2 linked regions of the Oreochromis niloticus genome follow. The protein of the gene in region 1 interacts with the protein of each later gene in a pairwise test. Links are inferred from orthologs where the notes say so. Each region holds a gene or a part of one and is shown in the gene's direction. Other genes may lie near its edges.

Region 1 (10,392 bases):
GGAAATAGTTTAAAACATAGCCATCCTCAACAGTATATACTATATACATACCTGCCTTCAGACAGGATTCAGAATTTCCCAGAGGAGCTATGCTAATGGTGCTTTATACTTGGAAAGTGTCAGGGTGTAAATGTCACTTTGTTTTCCTGCCTGTGATACCTGCTTTGATTATCATAAGTCCTCTGAATATATGTCATTGAAATAGTCTGGTTGTTTGTAGCAATGGGGCACAAGTTATTTACAGGGAATAACTTTTGGGCTGCCATGTGCTGCAAAGTATGTTAGTGGGAAGTGGGTTATGCACATAGGCATGAGTATGTATGTGTATTTGTCTGTGTGTGCTGGAGCCTTTCAGTGAGTGGGATGCCAGCGAAGGGAAGGGCAGCGGATGGTGCAGGGGCTCAGTCCATTCCTGTGATTTAACATGACACCACTTGCACTAAGACTGCGACAGCTGCGTATGCACATGCCGGCCATTCTGTTTGTTGTAGGGGATTACTCTGCGATAAAAGCCCCAGTGACCAGCAGCATGGCTGGGCTACAGAACTACTGTTCCCCCTCCCCTGACTTAGAAGGCTTTCTCCAGGCCTCCAGAGCCCTGTGCAAACACAGGTGGGGCACTTCATTCTGAGTATAAATGAATGGGAGTATTCTCCTGATGATTAGCCAGGCCATAGTAGTGTCACATCACCTTTGGGGGGGTCGTCAAACTGTATCGCTTATGTAAGGGTCATTACTCAACAGAAATAGTGGGACACAGCAGGGCAGTAATCAGATCTGACCGTGAATATTTTAATTTGCTCTCATTGTGTTTTATGCACTGATGATTGTCGAGGAGGAGTGGGCTGCTCTGTCACATCTCCATATAATGATCCTATACAACATTAATGTTCTATAGTAAGTATAACCTCATCGTAATCTGGAAGCTCTGATATCAAAGAGTTTAGGAATGGATGTGCAGTTTTCATGGCGACAGTCTCTGAGACGACAGACTTGGACATGTGTTGCTGTCACTATGGTGACAATGCTCTCTCCCAAAGGCATGAAACTAGTACATAATAATGCTGCATGAGTCTGGATTTCAGACAGAATATTCCTTTCCAGGAGTAGAGAAACACTCAGCGCAAGGCCAGGAATGAGACTTTATTTTTTGCATGTGGAAAACAATAATTAATAATTTCCTGTGTCTTTTTCCTTGAAAGTGTCAAACTTTCCGACTCGTTCTGAATGATCTAAATAAACATTTAGACATCTGAGCAGGTCACCAGATTTTTTGCACAAATCCTAAAAGTGTAAAACACAGAACTCAGTTATTCAAGCAGAACATAACTGTTATTTATAGAGTAAGAAAAATACACCAGCAAGTCTATGAACATATTGAGGATTAGAAGTTAATTTCAAGAAGAAAAAAAAGTCGTCTTTCTTCAGTCCTTTTTCTTTAAAGAAAAAAAAAATCCATTGTCATGTTGGAGGGACTGTATCTTCCCATGCACAAATGAGATTTCTAAGGTCCCTTAGAAAAAGGCTTATTGAAGCCCACCAGGCTGGAAAAGGTTACAGAACTATTGCTGCACTTTCTAGTCCAACAATAGAAAGTCAGACAGATGGCGTAAATGGAGAAAAATTGAAGATCATTGTTACACTGCCCAGGAGTGCTTGATCAAAAAAAAAAAAAAAAAGATCTCTGCAGCAGCAAGATGGATCATAGCCTGGCAGGTAACAAAGAAGCCAAAAAAGGTTGTTTCTAAAGTGTTCACAAAATTTCAAGCAAAAGTCAAAATTGAATGATTCTACTTCCTTCCAATTCTCAGTCTAAATAATAGGTTAGCGCTCATGCTGGACACTAAATTGCCAATTATTATGGGAACATCCAAATGAAGTAGAAACAAAAGCATGTATTTTATTTGTTTAAACAACTTGTGTATCCTGTTGTGCGTCTTATATCGTAATGTATCTCACTGGATGGAAGACCTGGCTTAGCCACCTCTAATAAACAGTTCCTCGCTGTTGTTATGTTATTCTCCTCTTACATATCTGAGATTTCCCGACTGCACTCAGATGACAGCTCTCCAGGTCACTGGAAATCTTGAGGCTAACCTGGGGTGAGGAGGACTGATCCCTCCCTCCTCCCCCAGAGCTCAGCTGTCCCACAATGTGCTGTTGCTTGTCACTGAGGAGAAGTGGAACAGTGTTGCCAGTGACAGGGCAACACCCCCCCTGCTGCACACAAGGGGACCCTTAAACACTCTGGACAAGAAATACATTATTATATTATATTATTAATATTTATTTAGTAATTTAATCAATAGCTCTGATACTTAGAATAAATCCAAATGTCACAATAGGTATTAATTTTTTATATTTTTTTGCATTATTTCTTACATGTGGCCAATCAATTATAATTAAATTAGAGCCAGCCTATTTTTCACTGGTTTGGCCTATTTTAAGATGGAAAATAAAGTACAGTATTAACAAACCACAGGTAAACAAACTGTTCTGTATCTTAAGTGTTCACTTCAAATACTGAGGGACACACACACACACACACACTTCTCTAGTTCTGCTGACAATGGGTTAAGATGACAGAGGGTTATGAGTGATTCTGACACACTGCAAACCCCCTCCTTGCTGTACCCCTGAGTCCAACACAGGCTTCTTTGTACTCACTCCACCATCAGTGACGATCCATCACAGACTAACCTGACAGCCGACCCAGCCCCGTGCCAAGCTAAGACTGTGCACTCTGCCTCAAACCCAAGCCCAAACCCCAGGAGGAGACCACAAGCCACCAGACGGGCCTGCCAAACCTCTGCCTGGCACCTAATCCCAGGACTGAAACTTCCCTGTAGATAATTCACATTGTAAGATTTTTTTGTTTTGATTGTGTCTAACTGAAACTTTGTGTTTGTTACCTTCCAAATGATATAAAACACAGGTAAAGAATAAACGGTCAGAAATAAGAGGCTCTGTTCCATTGTGTATCATTAACCCTTTGAACCAGCACAACCCTGGAACGCTTAAATGGAAATCAGCTATCATTGGTTGCACCTGTGCTTTCTCTTACACGAAATGTCAAAATATCTGCCACGAACCATGCCTATAAATATGTTCTTTTAAACAAGCTGCTGTTATTTTTAGGCAACGCTGATCCACAATAAAAATAAATAAATAGAGGCTTTAAGGGGCAGTCATAATGAGGAAATGAGTTATAATGAGTTCTTTCATCCGAAATAAGGTTTGTCTGTGTGAGCTTGTCGCTGCTTGTGGAAAAAAGTCAGAAACTCAACAATAAAAAATTAATCTGAGCAATAAAAATATGTATTTTTTTGATGTAGATTTTCATCTGGGTGAAAAGGCCTTGTTGACACCTTGTTGATGTTAGAGGAGAATAGACAGACTGGTTTGAGCTGATAGGAACACAACAGAAACTTACTTGTTGCAACCAAGCTATGCAGGAGAGCATCTCATCAAACCTTATAATATGCAAGGGCTCACAAAATTGGACAATAGAAAACTGGAAAATTGTTGCCTAGTCTCAGTTTCAACAACAAGATCTGGATGGTAGAGGTCTAGAGAGAGAACTAAATTACAATATAGTGTTAGCTTGCAAGCTAACATGTAAGAAGGTTTTACACTGGTGTAGTTTAAATATTAAAAGCAGCTTTAAAAAAGGATAGGCTCCTTGGTATGTCGAACTTTCAAAATTTTCACATAAGACAGGAATTAATAATGTGTTCTTTAATTTTATAACACAGGGACTCCAGCAACACTTAAAAGTAAAGAGGAACAACTTTATTAAATGACCAACGCGTTTCGGCTTGTGGCCTTCATCAGGGTCATACTCTTAAGTGTTGCTCGAGTCCCTGCGTTGTGAGTTTCTCATCCTCTCCACGCACCTTGGAAGTAGGTGAAGTGACAGAATTTTTGCTGTTCTTTAATTTTATAAGCAGGAAAAGTATAAAACCTAGCTTTTCACATCTTATCGTGACACCATAAAGACCTTAGTTCTTCTTCATTTTCTCTATTTTAAATATTGAACTCATGGTATCCACTGATATAGTATTGTTTACTTTTGTTTCAAAAAACTTGTATTTACTCTTTCATTGGTTGGAGAATAACTTAAAGCCTCAATGGCATTGGTATTCACCAGACCTTTCAACCCTCTAAGTTTAATGAACTGTGGTTACTAGGAAACTGCTAGCAATTTGTCTCTTCCAAAACATCTCCTGAGAGGTATTATATTACTGTGATAAACGTATTGTAAAGAAATAGAGCACAGACTCATGTAACACTCCTCATGATATGCCTGTCACTCCAGGCCACTTCTCTGCTGACAGAAGTGTGTGTTTTGGCTGTGCTGCAATGTTAGCGGAAGCTAGTCAGAATTAGCTGATGAGCTACGAGGTGAGACATGTCCTGGAAGGATTAACACCCAGTGGCTAAGCTAATGCTATGACTTGCTGGAAGAGGTCAGGACAACCAAGGCCATTCCCTCTGTGTGGCTGACTCATTACTGTCCCTTAAATTCTGGGAGTAATGTGAGCCAGCGTCAGCCTAGCAGCTCACTCTGCTCATGGTTCCTGCACAGACCTGCCTGGTTCTGAGGCTAGTATAGCTCAGAAGGTCACTTGCATCACATAGTGCAATCGTCTCAGGATGAAAGTCAGTGGATATGAATGCAGTTACATAAACCACAGGAACAATGTCACCTAAGCTTTTTTTGGTATTGACCAAGTTGATCGCATTATGAGTCTGACAGTGCTTCACAGAGGTCCAGAGTAAACAACAGTCTCTTGCCTCATTGACTTCCCATCAAAAACCTGAAGTCAAACAACGTATTGTCACTGTGTGCCACTGGCTCCCAGCAGAAGTGACAGCTGTTTCCAGAATGTCCCTTCTGCCTCCCCACTTAATGATGGAACTCTTCATGTTCGGAAGGGGACGCAAGTCTGGGATTAACTTACTAAGATGGACACCTTTGATCTGAGGCTGTCTCTCCCATTTCAACCTGATCATGTCCTGGCCTCTTAAGAAATACATGAGCGCACAAACCCACAGAAAAACACGCACGCGTACAATTGGGCCTTAAAGCCCTAGAGAGCAGGGCCAAACAGAGATGTGATGTGTAGATGTGCAGCAACAGCTAAACGTCGTGTCAGGTTTCTGGGGGCTCGTGCTAAATTTAACCCTGTGATCCAGCAGAAGGCAGAGGGGTTTAAATGCCAGCCTACAGTTGCTCCACACCAGTTGCTCTCCACACGTCTTCCACTCATCACAAACTCAGGCCGGGAAGAAGATAGCCGCACACACGTACACTCCAACGCAAACTCCAGACACAGGACAGAAGAGCGCATACTGAAGACTAGTTCCTAGGGAAGCTGGGATCTTTGTTCCCTTGTATCCAGACCACAACTGTCCAGTATGGAGCTTTTTGAGACCAACCCTTATTTCTTCCCTGACCAGCGCTTCTATGAAGGAGGGGACAGCTACTTCCCCTCTCGCCTGCCCGGGGCGTATGACCAAGCTGGCTACCAGGACAGGAACTCCATGATGGGCTTGTGTGGGAACCTGTCTGGGGGTGTTGGAGTTGGAGTGACAGGTACCGAGGACAAAGCCTCTCCATCCAGCATGTCGCCTCACTCCGAGCCCCACTGCCCAGGTCAGTGTCTTCCCTGGGCCTGTAAGCTGTGTAAAAGGAAGACAGTGACCATGGACCGCCGGCGAGCAGCCACACTGAGGGAGAAGAGACGCCTAAAGAAGGTGAACGAGGCCTTCGATGCTTTGAAGAGGAGCACGCTGATGAACCCCAACCAGAGGCTGCCCAAGGTTGAGATCTTGCGGAGCGCCATCCAGTATATTGAAAGGCTCCAAGCCCTGGTGTCCTCCCTCAACCAGCAGGACACTGAGACAGGACAGCAGGGTTTGCTCTACCGGCCCAGCCCAACTCAGCCCAGAGTAAGTAGGACAGAGACAGGATGAGGGAAGGGAGAAATTCAAAAAAACAGAGAAAACAGCCAAGAGGGAAACAGAGTTGGGAACAGCACTAGTTGGAAAGTGGCAGAAGATATGGGAGAAAAATGAGCGGTACAGTAAAGAGAAAGATAAATACTACATTAAACAATGACTGGGGTAAAATGTCAAATCAAAAATGTGTAAATTTGATTATCTGGTCATGTTCCTTTTGATTTATTCATTCTGGATAAGGTTTGATGTTATGCATATGTATTCAGCCATATAATGAGCAAAAATGTTGTGTTTTAAAAGGTTTTTAAAAACATGATGCAGTGTAGCTCATTAGTGTTTTTAAAGACACTGACAAGAACTCCTGTGACAGGCGTCGTAGTAATGGAAAGTCTTTTTCATTGTGTACATTTGCCTCTGAGTGGGGTCACGGGATGCATTAACTATATGTGCATTTGTGGTAGTACACTGCACTTTAGTGTGTGTTGTATTTCTGTGTGGCGTGCTGTATCATAACAGAGTGACTGACAGCAACTTGTGTGTGTGCATCTCCATGGCAACAGGTGTCGTCGTCAAGCGAGCCCAGTTCAGGCAGCACCTGCTGCAGCAGCCCGGAGTGGAGCAGCACTCCAGAGCAGTGCACGCAGAGCTACAGCAGCGAGGGTAAGCACAGGTCACTTAGTCCCATTAAACTAGGTAGACCAGGCAGCACCTTTACAGATACTTAGTGTCTAACTGGGTCTTTTTGCAGATCTCCTGAGCGCTGCAGACTCTCCAGAGCAGGGGAACATGCGGGCCTTGACCTCCATTGTGGACAGCATCTCTGCAGCAGATGGACCTGTGGCCTTTCCTGTGGACATTCCCAAATAGACCCTCAGACCAGCCGGCCAGTAGGTGCACAGCGAGCCTCAAACAAAAAGCAAAGTGACCTTTAATCCTAAATTATGTCTATTTTGTGCTTCTGCTGATTAAATTATTTTGTCTTATGCCAAATTACAAAATGTTTCCATTTGACGAGTATTGCAGCTCTGTTGATCCACGGGCCAGCTAGCCAAACTGACTTTTCCTGTTCACATTGAGGCTTTGTTCCCTTTATTTCCTGTATTATGCAATGTTCCAGACCTGTTTGTCAAAGCTACAGGAGATTCAAAGACTTTGCTGCATGAACCCAACACATATTTACTACACGTGATCCCTGTTAGGCTTGCCTCCAGATTTATAGAGCCACAGAGGAATGACAAATCCAGTTTTCTTTCCTTACTTAATTTAAGATTTCCTCTTCAAATGCTTTCCCTAATCTTTCATTCATTTTTTTTGTGTGTGTGAGTTTTAATGCTTAAAAAACAAGAGTTTATTTGTGGGGCCAATATGTACCATGGCAGTTTTGACCAAGATCTGCTTAATTTAAACTGATTATGAATGCTAGTGATGTAAATACGTTCCCTTTTTCTACAGAGTGGATTTGCCATTTTTATTTTTTTGCTAACTTATTTTGGACTTTTATAACTAAGATTGTTGTGTATTTGTAGATGTTCTGAAAAGTGATATTTTCTGTTTAATTCTTACAATAAAGACCATTTTCAATACGCTGTCCAGTGTTGTTTTTAGCCTATAATACAATACGCTGGCACATATAACTTAACAAGGAACACAGGATACCAAATCTTTAAAAAACAGCTTTACTTATGTCTATATAGTGTCATAAATACATTACACTTCTTTTTAAATAGCCAAATAATAAAATCTTGATTTGTCAGCATTGTTTCACACCTGGAATAAAGACACAGTACTCATAGCTGCCACATAGCACGTTACACCTTTTAGACACCTTGGAAAAACTTTCAAAAAAAAAAGAAAAAGAAAAAGATTGTACACCCATCCAGCACTTCACTGGTTCATTTGCTGTGTTCTTATTGGATGAGGAGTTGGTGAGCCAAGAGTACTGACTGCTCAATCAGAGCAAGATTAGACAAGTCTGTCACGTGGAGCAGTTTCATGTGGATTTCATTGGCTGATGTTGAGCAGCAGTTTACAGTTTGATTTTGAGAGAATGTAAGGAATCAACAGAGAAGAGCTACAGTGGTCACACTACCATCCACAGAGAAAGTCATGGTCGCATGGCTGGGGCCGGCCTTTTCACACGAAATCTACTAGTCTCAAGCACAGAGACTCATTTAGTCACACACTCTCACACTCTCTCTCTCACACACACACACTTCATATTAAAGGATTCTCTCTATTCTAGGCTACATAGTGTCATACAGAAGGCGAGAGAGGCAGAGAAAGGAGAGGCAACAGCTACATTGTGTTAAAAGAGAAGGAAGAGAAGGAAAAAAGAAGGAATGGGAGAAGAGGCAAAGAGAGAAGTCTGATATTGGACCCATGAACCTGTGAAGAGTCCTTGTGGAAACACACACCTCCCTTAGTGAGTCCCTCCCACCAACGATTCACACACGTACAGCATACAGCAAAAGACACACGAAGGTCCGACACAGAGAGAAAGAGAAAGAAAGAGAAAGAGAGAGAGAACAGTCACTATTGAATACAGGGCATTGGGTTTCATACAGCAATATTATATTGTTTTCCATATATATTCCCAATATATATATATTTATATATATATATTTATATATAATATTTCTATAAAAAACATAAGTCATCCATTTTATGTACAGAGATAAATGAGTAATACCTTGCATAACCGGTAGAGGGGTAACGTGTGGTGGGATCTGCCATTTATACAAGTATTCATCATTCTCAAATCCAAACCAACACCTGCTCACCATCTCCTTTAATCGTTTTGACGCTGTTTTCTTGCAAAGGACATGATGACGCAGGAAGATTGGTTTGGGCTTGGCCATGTTGAGACTATTACAACCAGGAAAAAAATCCACAGCTGAGATCAGGGGAGCAGGAGCACAACAACCACAACAACAAGGCTACTGGGAGCACGGGGGGTAAACTGGGAGAGACCAGGATGAGCCTCCATTACAGCAGCGAGCGCAGCCAATGTGCACTCTCAAGAGTTCAAAGGTCAGAGTTGGCCTCTGTATTGCACGTGTCCGAAGAAGAGGTGAGAGGTGAAAGTTGGAAGGTGAGGCTGGGCAACAAAGGGACGAAGCCTTCCCTGTGAGGTACCCAGGTCTCCCTCTCCAGATTTGGCATATCACTCTCAAAAGGCCGCAAGCATATGTCCATATAGGTAATGAGAATGCACTAGAAGAGAGAAAAGAAGATGAGGAAAGTGGAATAGGAAAAAAAAGAAAAATTAAGTTGCACATGCTTCTTGATTCATAAAATACTGGCGGTTGCCAGAGCTACCCCTCAGTCTCCTAGTAGATCCAACTATGGTATCAATTTCAAAATCCCAGATAACAGCTTACTTGATTTATTGTATTCAAAGATTTTCCGAAAACTTGACTTCTGACCGTGACCTTGAGTTCAAGGTCACCAGGATTCAAACTCATCCAAGATTTTTGGTAACTGCAACTATGGTATGAATTAGAAAATCCTACTTTCTCGAGCCGTCGTATTTCTCTACTTGGGTGTTAACGCCACCCACCAGCTCAGGTAGGTGATGACAAGACGCTGTCAGTCTTTAGCTCTCTTCCACAGTGTTTCTTTTGTCCTGTCTCCCTGAGCCTGGTTCTGCAGGAGGCTTCTTCCTGTTAAAAGGGAGTTTTTCCTTCCCACTATCGCCAAGTGCTTGCTCATAGAAGGCATCGTTACATTACAATATACACGCCTTGAGGCAACTCTTATTGTGATTTAGCTCTCTCTCTATTAAAAAGAACTGAATTGAATGATGATGATTAAAATTTTGGATACAGCTTCTGCTTTGATTGATCTACTGTACACGCAGTAGTAAACTTTTAGGCTTAGCTTGCACACCTTTTGTTAATTGCCTCTTGAAAGTTAGAGTCACGGTCCTACAATGCTACAATGCACAGTATCCTGTCGAGCTTCTGTTTGCTTACCTGTCAGCATTAACGCTCCTGTTAGTAAGTAGAGAGTAGTTAACATGAATAGGTCCGCACAGCCGAGGGATCAAGTCTCGGGGTTGCTGGGGGAGGAGCTTGAGAACATTGCACACAATTGATTTTGAGCACAGCAAGACAGAGAGGACACAACATGCAGTTAGTCAAGGCAACCACAGTGAGGCTCATAGCTACATACAGAAAATGACCTAGGTATTGCTTAGTATTGTAACATACCTTCAGGTTGAAGCTGTTTCTTGGATGCCAAATTCATAGAAGGCGGCATGGACATGGACGGCATACGGAAGCCAGCTGGCAGCGTTTCCATGGAGCCTGCCATCATCCCCAGCCCAGTCCCTCCCTCACGTGCCCGAAACCTCTTGCGCCATGATGGAGAGCGTCGAAAGGACTTGTCATCTCCACTCTTTAAAGACAGAAAAGCAAGGTGAGGAAA
Region 2 (11,670 bases), on another chromosome or scaffold:
GGGAAAGCAAAACAGCTGTGCCCCGCGCTGCAGTCTGTGCCATATGATTTTGAGGCCTATAAAGAGGTGGCCCTCAATATGTATGAGACTCTGGCCAGGTAGAGAAAACAGCACTATCTTTTACTCACACTAACTATGTTCTCCCTTAATTCTTAATATGCATAACTTATTTATGATTTTACTCTTTTCAGTTATACCCATGACATCGAGGCCCTCAGCTGCGATGAAGTGTTGATAGATGGCTCTGCACTGCTAGCTGAAGTGGGCGCCAGCCCTGAAGATCTAGCCAAAGCGATCAGAGCAGACATCAAGGAGAAAACGGGATGCTGTGCTTCAGTGGGCATGGGTAATTTGTTTGCCTAGTTCGTACTGTAAAATAGATCAAGGCTGCCGCTGCATTTTACAAAGTCTGACTAATCTGGTCTCTTCAGGGTCCAACATCCTTTTGGCTCGGCTGGCGACTCGTAAGGCCAAACCTGATGGCCAGTATTTCCTAAAGTCTGAAGAAGTGGATGATTTTATCAGGGACCTCCCGGTGACAAGCTTACCTGGTAGGTGTGCAGCACCACCTTCTGGTCAATCCATGGATATCAATTCTGTGTGGTAAAATACTCAGTCAAATGATGATGATCCTACTTTTTCAAGGTGTTGGGCCTGTTATGGGGAGAAAGCTGGCCCTCATGGGTGTGCGGTCCTGTGGTGACCTCCAACAAGTTTCTCTGTCTCAGCTGCAAAAGAAGTTTGGGCCCCGTACTGGACAGACTCTGTTCCGCTTCTGTAGGGGTCTAGACGACCGGCCAGTCCGCTATGAAAAGGAAAGGAAATCTGTCTCTGCTGAGATGAACTACAACATCCGCTTTACTCGGGTTAGACCTGCTGTTTGTCCTCCCTTCTGTGTCATGTGTTCTACTTCAACATGCCAGCTTTTTTTCCCCCTTCTAATCCTCTTTTGTATCACTCACCAGGTTGATGAGACGGAGTGTTTCCTGACTAATTTGTCCATGGAGGTGCAAAAACGTTTACAAGAAGCAGGTCTGCGGGGTCGAAGAGTCACCCTTAAAGTCATGGTTCGCAAAATTGGAGCGCCACTTGAACCTGCTAAATATGGTGGCCATGGCATATGTGATCATTTAGCCAAGTAAGAAAGAGATCGTTATTCTGTCCTTGTGTGTTACAACTAAATCTTCGTATTTTCTCCTCTCTTGTTTATCCTTACCACAGTTTCTTTGTAAGCTTATCTTTATCTGTCTCCCTTTCCATCAGGACCGTGATGCTCGCTCAGTCCACTGACAGTGGTCAGCTAATCGCTGCTGCAGTCATCAAGCTGTTCCACGCCATGAAGGTAGAGGTGCAGGACTTGAGAGGAGTTGGCATTCAGGTTCAGCTTCTTGAGGGACATCAGTCTGCAACACAGGACTGCCGAGGCCTGCGAGGACGCTCCATCAAAGAGATGCTGTTAGGCCAGGGATCGAGTGCCAGATCTAATAACCGAGGCGCGTTTGGTGTTTTTGATTCTGCTCGTCTTCATTGCTGTCTGTAAAAATCACTTATGTCTTGTAATATTATTACAGATGCTGCAGACGTACTTCAGGAGAAGATCGCTTCCTCTACAACAGTCCCAACAGCAAACTCCTTGCCATATCCTTTGTCACCTGCTGAGCCTGTACCCGGAACAAGCAAGGAACAACCAGCGTGCAGACAAACTCCAAAGCATTCTCGGACACGTCTCAACTTCAGTATCGAAGTCCCCTCCCCTTCACAGGTCAGGACTGGAGTGAAATGTCTGACTGGCAAAACAAAACCTAAATATTAACACACCTCTAACAAACTGTTTCCTAATTTTTTCCAAGGTGGATCGTTCTGTGTTGGAGGCCCTGCCTGCAGAGCTGAGAGAACAAGTGGAGCAGTCGTGGACCAGGAGAGATGGGAGGCCAAATAACTGCCATTCACCTGGTCCGCAGCTTTCCCCTCTCAGTTCTCATCCAGCCTCTCCCCCTCGTCCTCCCCTTGCAACCGTACCTGCACTGAATTATCCACCTGTAGGAACGTTGGTCCTGCAGATTCCAAACCAGCCAGAAAGTCCAGGAATTGTACTGGAACTGCCTAACTTCTCACAGGTGTGTATGCTATTAGATTTTTTTGTGATGGTTTGCCGGTGGTTTAATTTTACAGTCTAAAGTAGAGAGAAAATCAGGAAAAATTGGAAACTCTAGTTTCTGTTGTACTCTGTTCCACAGAAACATGTAGTGCCTTGGTGGCTTGTAGTAATTTTGCTTATTGGAACCTTTAAACAGCACAAAGTGCTGTTCTCTACTGGAAATGTGCCATGAACACATGAGTTGTGACTGAAGCAGATGGTCCCACAAGTTAAAGAAAACAAAAGCTGGTTTCATAGTTGGTAGTAAGTGAGCTTCCCATCTGTCTGACTGCAGGTCGATCCAGATGTGTTTGCTGCCCTTCCCAAAGAACTACAGGAGGAACTGAAAGCTGCCTACAGCCGTGCAACCGGTGTCCAACCTCAGGTGAAAATGTGTAAGTCAGCAGACGAATTTTCTGAAGGAGTGCTTTTCTTTTTGGTTGTTTGATTTTACTTTTTATTCTTTTAACCCTGATTTTATTATTTGATTTGATTTCTTGTTTGTTTGTTTGTTTGGCCTACTGGTTTCTCTGCAGTGGAGCAGAAGAATCCACTGCTGCAGCTAAAACAGTCTGGGGCAGGAATCGGCAACGGTCGGGTAAAGCGCCGCTACAAGAGAAAGAACGCAGTCAGTCCTCTTAAAAAAGGAGCTTCTCCACTCAAGAAGCGTCCAACAACAAACAGCCCAGCCAAAAGCCTGCCACCTACTGGAAAATCACGGGAACCAGTAAACATTCGAAAGGCAAGTTTGTCCTCTGCTCTATGCATAAAGATGCTGCCAACATGTGAAAGCATATGATTTAGTCGACTAATCTTTAAAAATTGCAACTTCTTTTCATTCCCAGACTGAAAATGGTCCCTCAACATCAGTTTCAAAACCAGAGGTCCCACCAGCCGTGGTTAAATTGGCTGCTCGTCCTCCTCCAGCACTGGCAGGAGCCTGTGACTTAACAGACATTAAAACACTGCTACGGGAATGGGTTACCACCATAACAGGTACACCGATGTGTTATGATGGCGTTTCCTCTGGTGCTGTTGTTGTTGTTGTTGTTGATGATTTTTATGGGTTTCCAAAAGTGCATCTTTATCTATGTATTTTTTATTTATTTATTTTTTAGAACCCATGGAGGAGGACATCTTGCAGGTGGTGAAATATTGCACTGACTTAATTGAGGACAAAGATTTGGAGAAGTTGGATTTGACTATAAAATACATGAAAAGGTTAGTTCTGTGCAGTTAAGATTCCTCAATTTAACTACCTTCCTTTTTCTTTGTTTTCAAGGTTTCACTCGCTTGTTATGCTTGAGCTTTGTTTTTGGGTTTTTTTCCTGCAGGCTCATGCAGCAGTCAGTGGAGTCTGTTTGGAGTATGGCTTTTGACTTCATCTTAGACAACGTGCAGGTGGTTTTGCAGCAGACTTACGGCAGCACCCTGAAGATAGCATGAAGAATGACGGGGTGCTCTCCTCGCTACGTGCGATCATTGTAAACAACACTTTTTTGATTTGTTAATTTCACAATACAAATCATGATGTCTAAATTCCGACTTATGAAAGATACAAATAATGGCTACACCTTTATGAGAAAGAGCCATGACAGTATTTTGGACAAACTGGTTGTTTTTATCACAGAACAATGATGATAGTAGCAGCTTTTTGGAAACTCACTTTCATTCACTCTTATTTTCCTACGACTCATTTTCATATGCAAGATTTTATTAAGGGCAAAAAAAACGCATTAAGGGTATCTGTTTTTTGTAGCACTGCAAAACTTTCAGCTGGTATTAGATCGCATACTCCTGTGGTGACCTGAGCATTAGCGCTGTAGATCAGCTTCAGAGATCTGTTTCCAGAGACAGTTCAGTTTCATTTTGGGTAAGAGAGTCGCAGAGAGTCAGATCTGGAGAGTGGGCCAGTTGTGTTAACGTGGCCAAAAAAGAAGAAGAAGGAAAAAATGATGTGAGCAGGCAGGTGATGACACATGCCACAGGTCAGTTTTTGTTTTTTGTTTGTTTGTTTGTTTATGCATGCGTCAGAATCTTAACACTGAACCCCACATTCACTGTGCACATAAATGTCCAAAAAGTTAAAAACAAGTATACTCCTCGTAGCATTCAACGGCTTTCTGGCTCGATCCTACCAACGAAGGCTGCTGTTATATCTCTGAGTCGTAGCTGGACTCTGAGACAAAACAATAACATCCGTTCCATCCAGGCCTGATTTCGAAATGTATTTTTTGTTTTCCTTTTGGTTTTTTCCCCCTCTTGAGCGTTAGAATCCGGTATGTTAAATTTTCCTTGCTTGGATACGTGATCATGTTAAAACAAAAAGTACATTTCAGCAGTTTTACAAACCGCTTACTTTGTAGCATTCTTTATACATAAGACATGTTTTCAGAAACGATTGGACAATGTTTTTTTTTTCCCCCATCATTGTTTTATCGGTGCTCTTTGCCACTAGCACTTATCTGCGAAGCATCTACTGCTGCATGCAGCAGTGTCGCTTTTTTTTCTTGTTTCTCGTTTCTTTCCAAAAAAAAGAAGTGCCAAACGCTGTTATTATACTGTGTAAATAATGTTTTAAAGATCTTTGTCTAAAGTTTTAAAAGAAAAAAACATGTATGTAGAGAAATTACCTCTTGTATTGTTTACCGGTAGTGGATTCTTAGTAACTGTCTCTAAATTGTAACTCTTTAAATGTTTCTAAGTGTTCCAACATGGAAATCAGAAGCTGGCCAAAGCACTTGAGGTGAGGTTAACTGTTGATTCTCAGTAGCACTCTGATATTGGAGGATGTCGACAGGGGTCATGGCAATCAATGAGTAGCCTATGCATTTCTGTTTTTTCTCACCTAACAATGAGATGTCCCTTCAAGACCACGTAACATTAAATAAAGCATTTAGTGTTTATCTGAACATCGAAACAATGCTGAATGTGCATAGGAAGAGGCGATCTGATTTTTAACTCCGTCAGCCACACTGTGCGATTCACACCCTCGAGACACTTTGTACGGCTTGCAGCTGTGTCACACTATTTGTGTGAGGTTTGACTTTAACAGCAGATGCAGCTGCTTGACTTGTGATCGCACCATGGAGGATAATTTGCTCGTGGTTAAAATGCGTGTTTTAAAAGATAATTTTGATATGCAAACCAAATCAATCGGTCATCTTTTGAAACTTGTTGAAATGAATGTAATTTAGAATGTGTGATTCACTTTAAAGACGTTGCTTCTCTTCACCTCTCACGTGTTTCCCCAGGGGAATGGCCAGAAGTTAAAATAAAATAATAATAATAAATTGGCCTGTCTTGTCTAATCTGGCTCGTGCCTGAAGACCTGAAGCTGTGAAACTTGTTTGTAAGTTTTCTAAACCTTGGTAATAAACTGTAAATTCTGTATTCATTTATTTGTCTTTTCCTTTCTATAAACTGGCTTTAAAAAGAACTTTCAGCTGATAGAATATGTTTATGAAAATTATCTTTCAGTGTGTCTGTTATGTTATTCCCAGGTCTGACAGTGATGAGCATATAAATGTGCTAGACATGTCTGTTAGAGATGTGTATTATTTTGATGCCAAAAAACATTGAATTTAATAACTTATTTTTGTATTGTTTAAATGGGATAAAGTTGACAAGCCACACTATGAAGATATGGGAAGGAGTTCTTGAAGCTAGGTTCAGGAGAGAAGTGAGGATCGACGAGCAGCAGTGTGGTTTCATGCCAAGAAAAAGCAGATCTTTAGTGCTTGCTCTTTCTTTTTCTGTCTTTGGGGGTCTAGAGAAGGCAAATGATCGGCTGGCAAGAGGAACTGTGGTACTGTACAAAAGGGTAAGTGGTAAAGAAGTATGTGAAGGTGGTGCAGGACAGTGAGACCATGGTCAGGTGTGCAGTAGGAGCGACAGATGGCTTGAAGATGGGGGATTACATGAAGAATTGATGAATATATAGGACAAAGGAGGTTGCATTTGGAGCTGCCAGGCAGAAGGAAAAGAGGAAGATCTCAGAGATGATCCACACGTGAACACATTAATTATTAAAATGAAATTTTATATATATATTTGTTTTTCATTTTAATAATAAAGTCCAAATTTCGAGATTAAACGCGAAATCCTAGTACTAGTTTTTGTAGAGGGTATAAGCCATGGCAACAGCTTTAATCTTCACATTTCGACTTTATTCTCAAAATAGCATTTCGATTTTTTTCCCTCTTAAAATGCTATTTCAAGGCTTACCTCGAAATTTCGACTTCATTCATGTTTTGCATATAAACTACAAATATTCTTCATAGATGAACGCACGGGATTTACTGCAAACAATATAACAATATATTTTTTCTTTAATACATCAGATGACAACTGAGCTTTTGGGTCCCAATAAACAAAAGCAGCAGTACAGCGTGAAAAAATATAACACACACACACACACACAAAATAAATTAATAAATAAAAAATAACCCGTAAAAAATAACCGAGTTGCCCGGATGTACTTCCCACGACGTCAGACGGGCCCGCTGTGACGTTGTATCCGCAGAGAAACGTTTCGTGCACGGGCTGAGGTGTTGACGAGCATCTGTCACCTTACTAGGTAATGTTTTAATAGCAGCTTGGTTATACTTTATATTTTCGACAAAACGCACAGTTGACGTTCATTTAAAAAATAAAAGATCAACAAAACTGTTTCCAAAACTGTTCCTGTGACGTTTGTTAACAATGGCGGGGCTAATGCTAGCTAGTTAAGATAGCAAGCAAACGCAGACTGAGGGTTTATATAGAGATTTTTGTTGAACTGCTGGCGTGTACTTTTCTTATTTTGTATTAGTTAGCTGCAGATACGTGAGAGGTACCCACCCTGTGTCTGTACCAGCTAACTGTAGGCACCACCGGGCAGAAACAAGGTGTGCCCCCCAGCCGTTACTGTGGCTTTGTCTGCGGCGTTAGCTAGCTAAAAGAGGAGCTCTCGGACCAATTTCTGTGTAAGCAACGTTGCTAACCTTACTTTGTTGTACGTACTTGATCACACCAGCTCACAGTGTAGGGCTAAAACAGGGTTTTCCCCATTGTAAAATTTTGGAACAAAGGCTATGACGAGATTCCTTTCTCTTTATTTTGCATCTTTGCGCAAAACAAAGCTTATAAATAAGTCATATGAATAAGTGAACTATTTCCAAGTCGTCATGCGCTCCATCACACTACCTTTGAACTTGTAGCCAGTGCAGTGTGGATGTCACATGACTGATACACATCAGCCACTGGCATTTGCAGAAAGCTTGTATCTGCACATATCGATATTAGGCACTGTGTTGTTGTTATTGCCGTGCTGTCTGGTGTCATGTCTCACCATTGCTTATCTGCCCATTTTCAAACAGAGTCAGGCAGCCATGGCTAACCAATCAATGGAAATCATAACAAAAGTTTTGGAGCAGTCAGCCAAGCTGGTGGAGGAGCAGGTGGATGCCCAGTTGGCCAAGCTGAATGAAATGGATGAAGATGATTTGGAGAGGCTGAAGGAAAGACGATTAGAGGCACTAAAAAAGGCCCAAAAACAGAAGCAGGTTTGTGGGACGTTTTATAATCACAGTAGCATTTTGCTGTGTTAATTTCGTAAAGCAGATAAAATGATTTGAATCACTGAGCAGATTCACTTATCAGCACTACAATTTGTAGTGATGTCAGTCAGTTCTTTGAAGGATCATAATAAAACACCTGGTGTCATGTGTATAGACTGTCTTGCTCTGAAGTTAGGCTACACAGCATTTGGTCTATTATTCAAACGGTTTAAAGAGTGTTTTCATTGTACTCAACTATAATAGCTTTTCTTGTATTTGTAACCTTTTGTTTTGCTTTTCAGGAGTGGTTGTCTAAAGGTCATGGGGAGTACAGAGAAATATCCAGTGAGAAAGACTTTTTCAGTGAAGTGAAAGACAGCAAGAATGCCGTGTGCCATTTCTACAGAAATTCAACCTTCAGGTAAGTCTAGAAAGTCACTAAATGATGCAACAGGACCATGAATTAGAAATGTAATGTAGTCCAAAAAACAAAAGAATCAGAGGTAGTTTATAGAAAATGAATATGTTCTGCAAATTAATGAATGTATTTATTAAAATCATCTTTTAAGACAAAATGACATTTCCTACGTGTGAAGTGTGTTTCAGTTATCTTTAACAATCAACATTGTGCCTTGTTTAGCGTCAGTTTTTTTACTCAGTCGCCACAGTATTAATCTGTTGATGTCAGACGTCTGAACTTGTCTCTCTGTCCTTAGATGTAAGATCCTCGACAAACACTTGGCCATCTTGGCAAAGAAGCATGTTGAGACCAAATTCATCAAACTGAATGCAGAGAAGGCCCCATTTCTGACAGAGAGGCTGCGCATCAAAGTTATTCCGACTCTGGCTTTGCTTATTGACGGAAAAACAAAGGACTATGTGGTCGGATTCACTGACCTGGGAAACACAGACGAGTTCACCACAGAGATGCTCGAATGGAGACTTGGCTGCGCGGACGTTATTAACTACAGGTGAGACGTGCAGTAGACTCACTCGAGCACCTTATGTGTCGTGTATGAAAACGTTTTATCTAACACGATCCCTTTTTCCTGTTTCTAGTGGCAACCTGAGGGAGCCCCCAACAGCGACACAGAGATCAGGAACAAAGTTCACAAAAGTGGAGAAGAAAACCATCAGAGGGCGAGGTTACGACTCGGATTCTGAAGATGACTGAAGAGGCTGGACAGTTGTCGGGTTTACTCTCTCAGGGCTACCTCATTACTAAAACTCCAGCAGACAGCCCACTTCCTTTTTTTCCCTCTCTTCTATCAGTGACTTAATTAAAAAAATAGAAATTACTAACCCGATCCACTGATTCATTTTATTTAAAAAGCACGTTTGTTTCAGCCTTATTTAAGGACTTATCCACCATGATTTATATTGGAATATCTGAGTAATAAAATGTATGGTTCATGAACGAGGGAGCACACTGAGCGACCACTAGCTGTTAGCTGTGTTTTGTTTTTCTTGATTTTCAGGTGTAATCATTTATTGTAGACAGCTGTCTCACGCACTTTCCTGTAACCTTTGTACGTCTCGTGTTGGAACCAAGTTCATGGTGCGTGTGAGTGCCAAGATCATCTTTGAAGAGCAAAATAAATTTTTACATGACATTTCATGGTAGCATGAGTTTGACCTAACTAATGCAGACTTAATAAAAACAAGAAAAGGATGGAAAAAAAACTGCTTGTGTATTTTTTGTTACTTCTTCAGGGTTAGAGGCAGCGTATTTGCAAGAGTTGTATGTTGCCGTTATGGATGAAAATAATACATCCTTAAACTCACTGGATACTTTTGTCTTCAGAACAGTCTAAATTTTTTCATAGCATAGATTCAACATGGTTCAACCTTGGAGAAGGTTGTGTTGGAAAATCCCAGAATATAAGCAGTTTCTGAAATACTCAGACTACACTGTTTGGCACAAACAACCATGCCACACTCAATCACCTTGAGGCATTCTGATACTGCAGCAGGCTGTAATGACCATGTCTACATGCATTGAGTTGCTGCCATGTGATTGGCTGATTAAATATTTGGATTAGCAAGCAGTACAACATATGCACCTAATGAAGTGACCAGTATAATTACTGGCAATGTTTTTTTGTGAGCCTTTGTTCTTAAAAAACAAAATTGCTGTTTTTGCCTTTAAACCAAAAACTATAACCATGTAAAAACATTTTAAGGGTGCAGATTATTTGTAGCTGATAAGACTGGCTGGTGCTATGCTGAGCACGTTGAGTATTACTACAAAACCGAACACTTGATTGTGCAACCGCAACACAAAGGGGGCCCTCGATTTCTATAAATAGCTGTTTGGCAGTCTGATACAACTGAGGTGGTGAGCAAAAACCTTGTCTTTGGGATTTAGGAAGTCATTTTTAATTTTAACAATCTGCCCCAGAAAACTTGTTAAATTATCTCAGAAGGCAAATTTTACTTTTTACCAAATTACTAGCTGTCTGTATAATTAATATGCTGGTATTCAAATGACTAAACTGTTGATTTGTAGAAAAAATAATAATAATAAACCAAGTTTTCTGGAAAAGTTTAATGAGTAATTCCTGAATTAACTCAAACTTAGAACAGTGGGTTTGCACAGAGTTGAATTTTTCAGATGCGACGTTAATGTCGGTATTCCTGCTTCATCAGGGTGGCACTTTGCTCAATCATTTGTGAGACAGGTTGATGAGAACATTTAATCATATTCATCTTCAGCTCAGCATCAAAACACAGGAAACAGCAATCCAGAAGTCTGGTTGGTGCCACGGCTTTCTCTCATTGCAGAGAGAATGACAACAGGACGTTTTCCAGGACATTCACACACGCAACAGTGGAGCTAAGATTCGATCGCCTTGTTGTCTACAGGTTGGAGGAGGCGGTGTACAATAAGTTCTCCTTTGCTGTTGATGTATGCATCAGCCATGTCATGCTCAGCAGGGAGCCCATAGGGAGTTTTTAGCGGCTGTATCCTGAAGGTATCAGAAAGAGATGGCAAAGGAGATATAACAGTATAGATATATAGGTATCTCAGGCAACCTCAATTTGAAAAAAACTAACCTTTTTTTAATAGTACTTTAAGAGTGGTGTGTTACTACTTTTAGTTAATTAATCCTACCTTACAAGGTGCTTGACAAACTTCAGTTGACTGTTGACTGCAGGAGTATTTTTATGAATTACGGGGACGTGAGCCTAAATCCGAGACAAAGACAGAACAAAATTATTCCAAAAGATAAAGGCTGTGAGCGTCTCTGCATGAGGTGACACACTTCTGTACAGCTCATTTATCCTGATCAGAGCTCCTTCAGGGTACAAGTCACTGTTGAAAGATACTGAAAGATGCAAAGAATTAAATGGCTAGAAATTCCTGAACTAAAGCTGACAGCAGTGTTTTGTTGTATGTGCAAAAAATACTGAACATGATCCGGTTACATTAAGTTAATCCAAAAGTAAAACAAAAACGATCTGTAGCCTTTACAAAAAGGGAACCCAGTTTGGGGTCCTGTACAATGACAGAAATTTTACCTTTTGAAGCCCGAGGTGTTTTATCATCTCTTTCTCCCAGTATGGCCTTCGCAGCGCACTTTTGACCCGCGTCACTATGTGCAGCTTGTGCGGCTGGTCTGGATCACCACCATATTTCTCATGCTCTTTCGATCGCTCAGCAAAAATCTGTTAAGAAAATGCAGAATAAAGGATTATCATTATTCCATGGCAGGATTCATCTGTAATGACGGCCCTAAGGCAACACTAAAAATGCTGAGTAGCTAATAATCCCCCTAAACCATTTTGTCTACCGGACCTGCTGGAATTATACCCAAAATTACTTAATCCAAATACATATTAACGTAAAAGAATTAGATTTTGACACACACATGGGTAGGGTCACAAGACGTTACATACTTTAAGTGTTGCTAATTACTTTACAAATGTACAACATTATAGATTCTACATTTATTCTTACCTCTTGTGGGATTCTAGATTTGGAGAATTTGC

The links.
Region 2: the proteins of myog (region 1) and txndc9 interact in binary tests that used the Homo sapiens proteins (3 or more experiments, as listed by UniProt). The two-hybrid records come from large-scale screens. The link is inferred for Oreochromis niloticus from reciprocal best matches to the Homo sapiens genes MYOG and TXNDC9.

Annotation. Positions count from the first base shown.
Region 1 is NC_031970.2:25,637,961-25,648,352, reverse strand, and holds myog (myogenin), read left to right. Parts: upstream 1-5,303; 5' UTR 5,304-5,421; coding exon 5,422-5,955; intron 5,956-6,524; coding exon 6,525-6,624; intron 6,625-6,712; coding exon 6,713-6,831; 3' UTR 6,832-7,544; downstream 7,545-10,392. Other genes in the region: ppfia4 (liprin-alpha-4), read right to left, coding at 9,978-10,036, 10,176-10,362. UniProt on the Homo sapiens protein: Acts as a transcriptional activator that promotes transcription of muscle-specific target genes and plays a role in muscle differentiation, cell cycle exit and muscle atrophy.
Region 2 is NC_031987.2:21,409,869-21,421,538, reverse strand, and holds txndc9 (thioredoxin domain-containing protein 9), read left to right. Parts: upstream 1-6,582; 5' UTR 6,583-6,716; intron 6,717-7,497; 5' UTR 7,498-7,509; coding exon 7,510-7,683; intron 7,684-7,979; coding exon 7,980-8,098; intron 8,099-8,393; coding exon 8,394-8,648; intron 8,649-8,736; coding exon 8,737-8,851; 3' UTR 8,852-9,360; downstream 9,361-11,670. Other genes in the region: DNA repair protein REV1, read left to right, coding at 1-98, 192-346, 432-551, 646-866, 966-1,138, 1,264-1,493, 1,572-1,762, 1,851-2,117 and 5 more; mrpl30 (large ribosomal subunit protein uL30m), read right to left, coding at 10,514-10,646, 10,793-10,866, 11,200-11,346, 11,639-11,670. UniProt on the Homo sapiens protein: Significantly diminishes the chaperonin TCP1 complex ATPase activity, thus negatively impacts protein folding, including that of actin or tubulin.